Oryzias latipes: one gene and its partner. The protein of the gene in region 2 purifies or fractionates together with the protein of the main gene of each other region. This does not show direct contact. Links are inferred from orthologs where the notes say so. Each region holds a gene or a part of one and is shown on either strand. Other genes may lie near its edges.

Region 1 (4,343 bases), on a different chromosome or scaffold from region 2:
AAACTCCTCCGAGGGATTTCGATCCAAGCATCATTGGGAAGCGACTTGGAAGGAAAATGATGGAAGTAAAGTGTGTAGGTTTTGGACTGCGTTATTGTGGCGAGCGTCCTCAGGTGACCAAAAAACAAAAAGGTTGCCATGGAAATAAAACCATCAGAAAGCTGTCATTTTGGAAAATGCTAACCATTTGACTTTCCTTTGGTTTTATTTCTGATTTGAAAGGTGAACTATTAGAGCTCGCAGAGAAATGGAATAATGGTCTTTAGTTTGGGAGTTGAAGAACCAATGATGACTTTTCACTCTCAGATACAAACATATGAATGAAAGTTCATATGAAAGTCTGGACGAACAGATCTGGACCTAATCTGAGCCATCAGTGCAGAAGTTTTTGCCTCCGTTCCATCTAAAACTACCTGTTGTCGAGTCTTTAAGACAGAAATAAACTTCAGCTTGTTGTTCAAGAAAGAAGGAGAAACACGTCTGATTTTTAAATCAACCCATCAGCTTTCAGAGTTGATTTAAAACTAGTTCCTTCGTTTATAAATGTCTAAATGGATCCAAAATACTTTTTTGAACCTCTTAGAGCCCTCAGATCCTCACATGCAGGTCTGCTCTACTTCCAAATGTTGAGAAACACTGAGAGGTTATTAACTGAAACGAGATCTTTAGATAGATTTAGTGTCATTTGAATGCAGCGCCCTCTGTCGGTGGATCCTGAAACCAATGGGTTTTCTTCAAATGCTGAAAACCTTTCCGGATTAAATCGTGGCTTTAGCTCACTTGGATTACAGACACGCATTGATTTATGGGGGGAAAAAGTCTTTAAAGAAGTTAATCGTCTCTTCGTTCTCGGCAGGCCAACATTTCTCACAGAAAAGCTTCTCGTTCGTAACCAGAATATCATCGTTTCTGAGACGTCATCATTATTTTTAAGAAAAGACGTTTTCGATAAAATAAAATGTCTTAGATGTTAATAAATGTTCATTTTGTTGTCTCACCAGCAGCCTCCCGCCGCAGCTGAAGGACGCGGCCATGTTTTCTTGTACCGTCTGAAGCGGAACTACTATTGTCCTTAATCTATGTTGTTTTATAACAACGTTTTTATTTAAAAAGAACAACAAAAACGCATGCTTTATATTAAAAACAACTTCCAAACTAAAAGTGTCGATCAAAACAGCCCTTTTTATGTTTTTATGACCGTTTGTTTTTATGTTGTTTCTTAGGGAGCGTTTATGTAGCTGGAACGGAAATAAATCATTTTTTACAGTATTTTGTTGTTGTTGTTTTGCGCTTGATTTCAATGAATAAATAAAATTAAATTGGTGCATATTTAAGTGGGCTCTCTAATTTGTAAATTAGCTTGCTTCAAGATGATTTCGACGAAAAGCAAGCTAAAAAAACAAACAAAACGACTGGTGTGCTCTTATTTTGACATGGTGGTACCGGAAACTGCGTCATTGTTCTGGAAAAAGACAACCGTAATCAGAGAGACAAAACAAACCGGCCTCATTTATACACTGTCGTTCGTGGTTTTGGTCACTCGGGTCATTTCGGAAAAGGGCTCGCGCTCGCAGCCGCGATGGCGTCGCCGCTGGAGATGACGGAAATGTACGACAACGCTCTGCTGGGGATCCTGCAACACGTCGGAAACATTCAGGACTTCCTGAGGGTCTACTTTGGGTTTTTGTACAGAAAGACGGACTTTTATCGACTGCTGTCCGGTCCCGACGACAGGATGGGCTTCCCTCCTGGAGTCGCAGAGAAGATGGTGCTGAAGGTGAAGTTTTGTAAAGGCGCTCGCGGCGTGGCGCGTGCCTTCCTTCCGAGCGTTTGCCGCGAACGAACCAAAGTTTCAGATCTTGTTTAGATTCGTGTTCTGGTTTGGGTTCTTGTAGAGATGCGCCACAGATAATAATATCTACACTCTAAAAACACATCCCCAGCGTGTTTCAGGACCGTTTAAAAAATGTTTAGGGGCCCTGGGCAAACCTGACTGCAGGGGCCCCGTCATCTCTCCTGCCGCTCAAAACCCCAGACGCCTCTTTCTACTGAGCTGGTTTCAGTGGAACCAGTGCCTCTGGTTCTCCAAACTCCTTCTGAGCTCCAACTGGTTTCTGGATCCCACGGCAGACTTTCTTTTGTCCGCAGACGTTTAGGCTGTTCGAGCAGATGGCGGATCAGGACCGGCAGAGGGCGCTGAGCCAGCTGCAGAACGCGGAGGAGAGCCGCGGCGTTCCTCCTGCAGTCCAGGAGCTGCAGGTCTCCTCTGAGCCCCCAAAGGCAGAGGAGAGGAGCAGCGTGGAGGCGCCACAACCGGAGAGCGCCGCCAGCGAGGCTCCAGACGCTGCGGCTGCTGCCGGTGAGGCTGCGGCCCCCAGCGGCAGAGGAGCTCCGTCGTCTCAAGGAGATGAAGCGGCGGCGGCGGGAGAAGGGTGAGCATCCGGCGCAGAGGAGGAGGAGCTTCCTGGACGGGCCCGCCTCCTGACGGGTTTGTTTTTCAGGAACCAGGACATGTTTCAGGCCAACCCCGACAGCTACAACGGAGCACAGAGGGAGAACTACAGCTGGTCTCAGGACTACACGGACGTGGAGGTCCGGGTCTTCGTGCCGAAGACGGTGGTGAGAGGCCGACAGGTGAGTCCGAGCCGCTGCGCCGCCAGGAGGTCGGCAATCCGGCGCTGACGGGGGCGTGTCTGCAGGTCAGCGTCAGTCTGCAGCCCAGCGGCATCAGAGTGTCCACGAAGGACGGCGGCGAGGAGAGAACTCTGATGGAGGGGGAATTCACGCACAAGATCAACACGGAGAACTCCCTGTGGAGCCTGGAGCCCGGGAAGTGTGTCGTGGTGAGAACCGGGACAGAACCGGGCCCTGTTCACCAGGAAAGAGCGCTCTCTCCGGGCTCATGTGGGTGTTTGTGACTCGCAGCTGTCGCTCAGCAAGACCTCCGAGACCTGGTGGAACGCGGTGCTGAAGGGGGAGGAGGAGATCGACATCAACCGGATCAACCGCGAGCGCTCCATGGCGACGGTGGACGAGGAGGAACACGCCGTCCTGGACAGGCTGACGTTCGACTACCACCAGAAGCTGCAGGGCAAACCGCAGAGCCACGAAATGGTGAGGAAGCAGCTGGGCGCGAGGGGCGGGACTTTAGATCAACGCTTTCATCGGAACAGCCAATCGGTGCTGAGCCCAACAGAAGAACTCACGGAATAGAAACGCGAGGATCGTTTAAAAAAAGGCTCATGGGCACTAAGGTAGAAAGATGCTAAACTAGCTAAATATAAGAGCGTAGGAACAAAATTAAAAACGTTATTTCCAAAGTTACGTAGTAAATAAGACGCATTAAACAACCGGTGCATCATGTGAGACGAAAGACATTCTGGACCTTAGTTGTATTACACAACGCGTGTTATTGCTGTTTAAGCCACTTTAGCCGCATAAGCCACGTTTGCCATGTTAGCCACATTAGCAGCGTAAGCCAGCTTAGTCATGTCAGCCGCATTGGCAACGTATGCCGCGTTAGCTACGTAAGCTATGTTTGCCATGTTAGCCGCATTAGCCACATTATCTGAGTTAGCCACATCAGCCGTGTTAACCACATTAACCACGTTAGCCCCATTGGCCGCGTTACCTGCGTTAGCCACATTAGCCGCGTTAGTCATGTTAGCCACGTAAGCATAGTTAAAAACTGCCAACCATGTTTGGGACACGTAAAACTGTTACTGGTAAAATAAAACGTCACCCTGACTACGCTAAATCCCAACTTTTGTAATAACACAGACATGCTATAGTAACGTATTTACCATAAACCCAACCGTTTTTTCAACTTGTTACAAAAATTGACATTCTGACAGAGCGCCATGTTCCTCAGGAAATCAACAACAATCAACATCAGTAAACAAAAGCAGAATTAATGCATAAGCGACACACACGGCTCGACAACTGTTGTAATGCCGGTAGAGGTGTTCTGCTGCAAGTCGCCTGTCAATCAACAGACCACACCCCCATTAGCACACGATTATGACTTGTAATCGTGTTCCCTCGTTTATCGTAAACGTTCTAAAACTACGGGACGGATGTTTTAAAACTCACTTTCTAGACTTTTCTCAGACAAACATTTTCACACTTTTCTCTCCTTCAAACTGACAAAATTCAAACATTCGTAGAAAAAGAAGTTTAGTTTTATAGAAAGAAAACAAAGATCTGATCAGGATTGAAGATTTCTGTAAATGTGGAAAAGTGAACGCATTCTGTAACACAATGGAGGTTAAGGATTTTAAGATTTTGTTGTTTTATTTCTTGGAAACTTTGAAAAGTTTTTATGTGAAAATGTGTCAAAACTG
Region 2 (4,335 bases):
CACCACAACTTAGAGGCAAATTCTGATGAACTGCTGCTGTTCTGCAGAAACTACTGTATGTCCTTGCAGTGGGACTTTGATTTTTGTCATTATTAGCATCAATTTTTAGGTATGACCAAAAAGTGGATTTATTAACATTATTCTGTTTATTAGTATAATTCTGTTTATTAACGTTATTCTGTTTATTAACATTATTCTGTTGGCAGATATTCAAGTAAAATATCTAAGAAAGTTAAACATTCTTGCACCTCCCTTTGCTAAATTCTAGGCTCGGATATCTTAGCCTTTTTAAAATCTTAACATTTTTGCAACAACTTAATGATATTTTCATACTGTATGACTTTTATCAACAGCTTTATTCCACCAAGACGATAAAAACGGTTCAACGTGACATCAGCAGCTGTCCCACAAACTCACACTGAAGAAGACAAACAAAAGCGACAGATATGTGTGCACAGATGAATAAAACCTATAGGGTTATTAATCATGACTTGAGTGGAGAATTGTGATTAAAACTAACACGTAATATGTCGCATATGAGTGAAGTGTATCTGTGGAGAGTCTCGTTCGTCCAGGATGATGTTTCCAAATTCACCTGGACTTTAGATTTTTAAGTTGACGAGGTTTTGCCTCTTATTGAAGGAACTTTCTCAATTCTGTGACAAACTGAAAAGAGAACTACTTTTTGTAAGCGTCTCGGAGGAAGGAAATGGTCTTGATGTGGGTGACGACAAAGTGACGAAGAGAAAAAACCTTTGTTTTTGACCTTAGCATGCCTTTCAATGGACTTACATTAGACTCCCCCCAAAAGACTACATTGATGACCCTTTTTATACAGTAACTACTTCTGTAAAAGTGTAGATCTAGATCATCTCAGAAATAAGTGACTGTTTATTACAAATGTTATTGCCCGTGAAATCAAAAACCAGGTTTTCTAGGACAAAGCATCTTCATTTTCAACTAAATGAGACGGAGGTGAGAGATGATCATCTGGGCTTTCTTTAAAAAAATTGCACATTAGAGTAGCTGCACTAGAAGAAAAAGGATGTAAAAGAGAAAACAGTTGGCTTTTCTGTTGGCAGTTCCTTTTTATTCTTTAAGGTTGTAATTTTTTTTTAATGTTTAATGTACTTTCTTCCTGACACGACAGACGTATTTTCAACACAGCCTTTTGTTGTCCCAACGAATCCTGCTGGATGGATGTTCTTGCCTCAAGTCCTTCTGCATCTCAAACCCTGATCTCACATGTCGCTCCCTGCCCCTGTGAAAATAGCGCACTTCTCAGAAATGTAATCAGTCGCATCTCACTTCAGTTCGAGCACGGGGGAGTGATTGAAGACAGTTGAACAAGAAGGGAGTGAACACAAACCACATCCGACCCTGAAAGAAGAAGAACCTGGGAAACGTTTCACTGTTTTTTTCCACTCTTCGCCTGATGCTGAGGTTTCTGCAGCAGTTCGTCTGAGCTACTTTGGACTCGTTTATGCGGCAGAAGAAGAGGAAGTATGTAGAGACAAACAAACATTGCTACATCCTCAGTGAACAGGAATAGGAAGTATGAAGAGGAGAAGAAAAGAGAAAAAAAATGCTCGTGTCAAAGTAACTGTTGGCATGAAGTTTCATTCGGTTACAAAGAGGTATTTGGAGAACGCTCGCTGGCAGTTGGTCTGTAAAAAGTGACTTCTTTGGAAGAACCATTGAAACTAAACATGAGCGATTCACTTGAGAGGACAACAGACTGCCTACTTAGTGAAGACAGCTCCAATCAAATGGAAGAAAAGGACAAGGCAGGAGTTGTGAGCGAGCTGCGCTGGCAAGATGAAGGCCTATCGGTGGAGCTGCTGAGAGGGATGGAGACCCTGCGGGTGAACAGAGAACTGACCGACGTGACCATCTGCGTTCAGGGACACGACTTCCTCTGCCATCGAGCCATTCTTGCTGCTGCTAGTCAGTACTTCAGGTACTACAAACTATTCTACACTTGCAACAAGGCTTGTTTTTGGACATTTAAGATATTCTAGCAGGTTTTAAGTTTTTTTTACCTGATCTTTGCTCCACACCTTTCCAAGCTTTTCTCAAACAGGAGAATTTCTTGTCTCTTTGAGAGCTAGGATCTAGAAATTAGGACATTATTATTAAAATGAGCCAAAAATCCTTTTGCTCTAAACTCCTGACGACAGAAAAACTATATATGAAGACTCAAAAAACAACAACTCAAATTACACTGTAACTGTTATTTTAAAGTTTAATAAACGTCACCAAAGTCATCACAACCGCTGTGCTCTGTGGTTCAGATCATTTACTACTCCTTAGTAATTTTCTTCCTAGGCTTTAGTGCTCTTTTCCTATTTTTAGGCCACATCTTTTTTGCATTGTGAGCATAATCGAAACACTGCAAAAACTGAATCTTAGGAAAGTAGAAAGTCCCTTGTTTCAAGAAAATCGTCTCATTTTTCATGTCTTTCAAGACAAATAATATTATCCAGAAGTTTTTCAAAACAAGGTTAATCTTAGTGTGAGAAAACATGTCTCTGTGACAAATGTTTAAATTCTTGGTTGGGCCATTTTTCCTACACCTCATTGGCAGATTTTATTTGATTATTTATTTTGACTTATTTCTCAGGGACACGTTTTTGCAGTGAAGATGGTGAAAAAGTGTCTCTGTGTGTGCAGGGCCATGTTCTGCAGCGGCCTCAAGGAGAGCCACGAGGACCGTGTGGAGATCAAGGGGCTCGACAGCGGAACCATGCGCACGCTCCTGGAGTACACCTACACCAGCCGAGTCTTCCTCACACACTCAAACGTCCAGGGCATCCTCGAGGCTGCCAGTCAGTTTCAGGTAAAAAGGTTCCACATGACATGGAGACACTTTGTGTTAAAGGTGTGATGCACAATGTCAGCATACTTTCTGAAATCTTCATGTTCAGCTGCTTTTTATGTTTTTTTTATTCTTTTTTGACCACAGGAAGCACAAAACCAGAATTTTATGTTGTTATAATTTAACATGTCTGTATTCACAAATCCATACATAAATGGCTGCATACATTTTTTTAAAAGTGTCCTTTAAAATTGATGTTTCAACTAAAATTAATACATTTTCAATGGGAAAAATGGTGGAAAGCTGCTTAAACTAACAAAGGATTTCTACACCTAAAGCTTTGTATTAGCTGCAAAAACAGCCCCGTGACTGGCTATTTTGTTTTTTTCTATTTTAGTTTTGCTCCATGTCTGTAGATAGCAATGACCGGAAAATACATATTAAAAATAAAGTTTATTTAAAAATAAATAACTAAATAAAATGAATCTAATTTCGCTTCAGGGCTTTTTTTAAAAACAAAACTCTCTTACTTTACAACATGAAGGGGTGCAAACATGTTTTTCTGAAACTTTCTTATCTAATAGGGAAGTGAAAGTGGGCCAGTTGTTCATACTTAGGATCAGTTTTCCATACAGACTCAAATTATCTTCACAGCTGTGCCTTAGAGAAAAGAAGACAGCTGCTTTTACTGCCAAACCTTTTGACGGTTTTCACCGGTATTACGCTTTACGAGAAAACTAGCAAATTTATTCTCGTGCATTTTTTTTTAACTTGTCCTGTCCAACAGCTGGGCAAACAGATGAGAGCTGAAGGCCTCTTGTGTTGGACATATTTTACTTTAACAACAGGGGTTACATTCTTCTGACAAACCAGAGGTATGTTTGAATAAACCCCTTTTGTAAACGAGGCCAAACTTTATTCATTTTAATTATATTTGAAAATCTTTTTTGTTGGACCGGACGGAAAAGGAAAGGAGGGAGGAAGAAAGAGGGACATTAGGGGGGGGGGGGGCAGCATAAAGCAACAAGTTTCCGGATGGTTCCAATCATTACAGTGAGGTTCAGATGTAATACAAGTCTATAAGGGCGGGGCCTGTCCACACACACACTCAGATGTTATAAACATACCTGTTGGCTCCAAACAATGTCAGCATGTCAACATGAACACAATACAAACACGCATTTATGCCTTCAAACAAACTAGTGTGAAATATTTCATTCAATCACATAAACTATTTGTGCAAAAGTGAGCTAAAATCGGTGCTCAAGTGAGTGTTTATGTTCTTATAAAATATTCTTGTGCATTTTTTATTCACAAATGTTTTGGATCATAGCTGGTAATGAGAAGTTTTAAAATTCAAAACCTAAAACTCTCAACATTTTACTAAAAGAAGCTTTTTGCAGCTAAAACTTTTAAATGAGTTTGGAATTTCCCAAAGATTTGGACTCTTTCTTTTGAAAGCAAAATCCCCGTTTTCTCTCTGAAAATAAGACCAAATCAGTTTAAACTTCTACACA

What was found.
Region 1: the proteins of klhl6 (region 2) and nudcd3 purify together in Homo sapiens (affinity purification with mass spectrometry; 3 studies listed by BioGRID and IntAct, counting the BioPlex papers as one, with this or other methods). This does not show direct contact. The link is inferred for Oryzias latipes from reciprocal best matches to the Homo sapiens genes KLHL6 and NUDCD3.

Annotation. Positions count from the first base shown.
Region 1 is NC_019870.2:1,856,904-1,861,246, forward strand, and holds the start of nudcd3 (nudC domain-containing protein 3), read left to right. Parts: upstream 1-1,444; 5' UTR 1,445-1,579; coding exon 1,580-1,777; intron 1,778-2,148; coding exon 2,149-2,432; intron 2,433-2,501; coding exon 2,502-2,634; intron 2,635-2,699; coding exon 2,700-2,843; intron 2,844-2,925; coding exon 2,926-3,114; intron 3,115-4,343. Other genes in the region: mrps24 (28S ribosomal protein S24, mitochondrial), read right to left, coding at 999-1,034.
Region 2 is NC_019879.2:24,301,017-24,305,351, reverse strand, and holds the start of klhl6 (kelch-like protein 6), read left to right. Parts: upstream 1-1,257; 5' UTR 1,258-1,709; coding exon 1,710-1,960; intron 1,961-2,673; coding exon 2,674-2,839; intron 2,840-4,335. UniProt on the Homo sapiens protein: Involved in B-lymphocyte antigen receptor signaling and germinal center formation.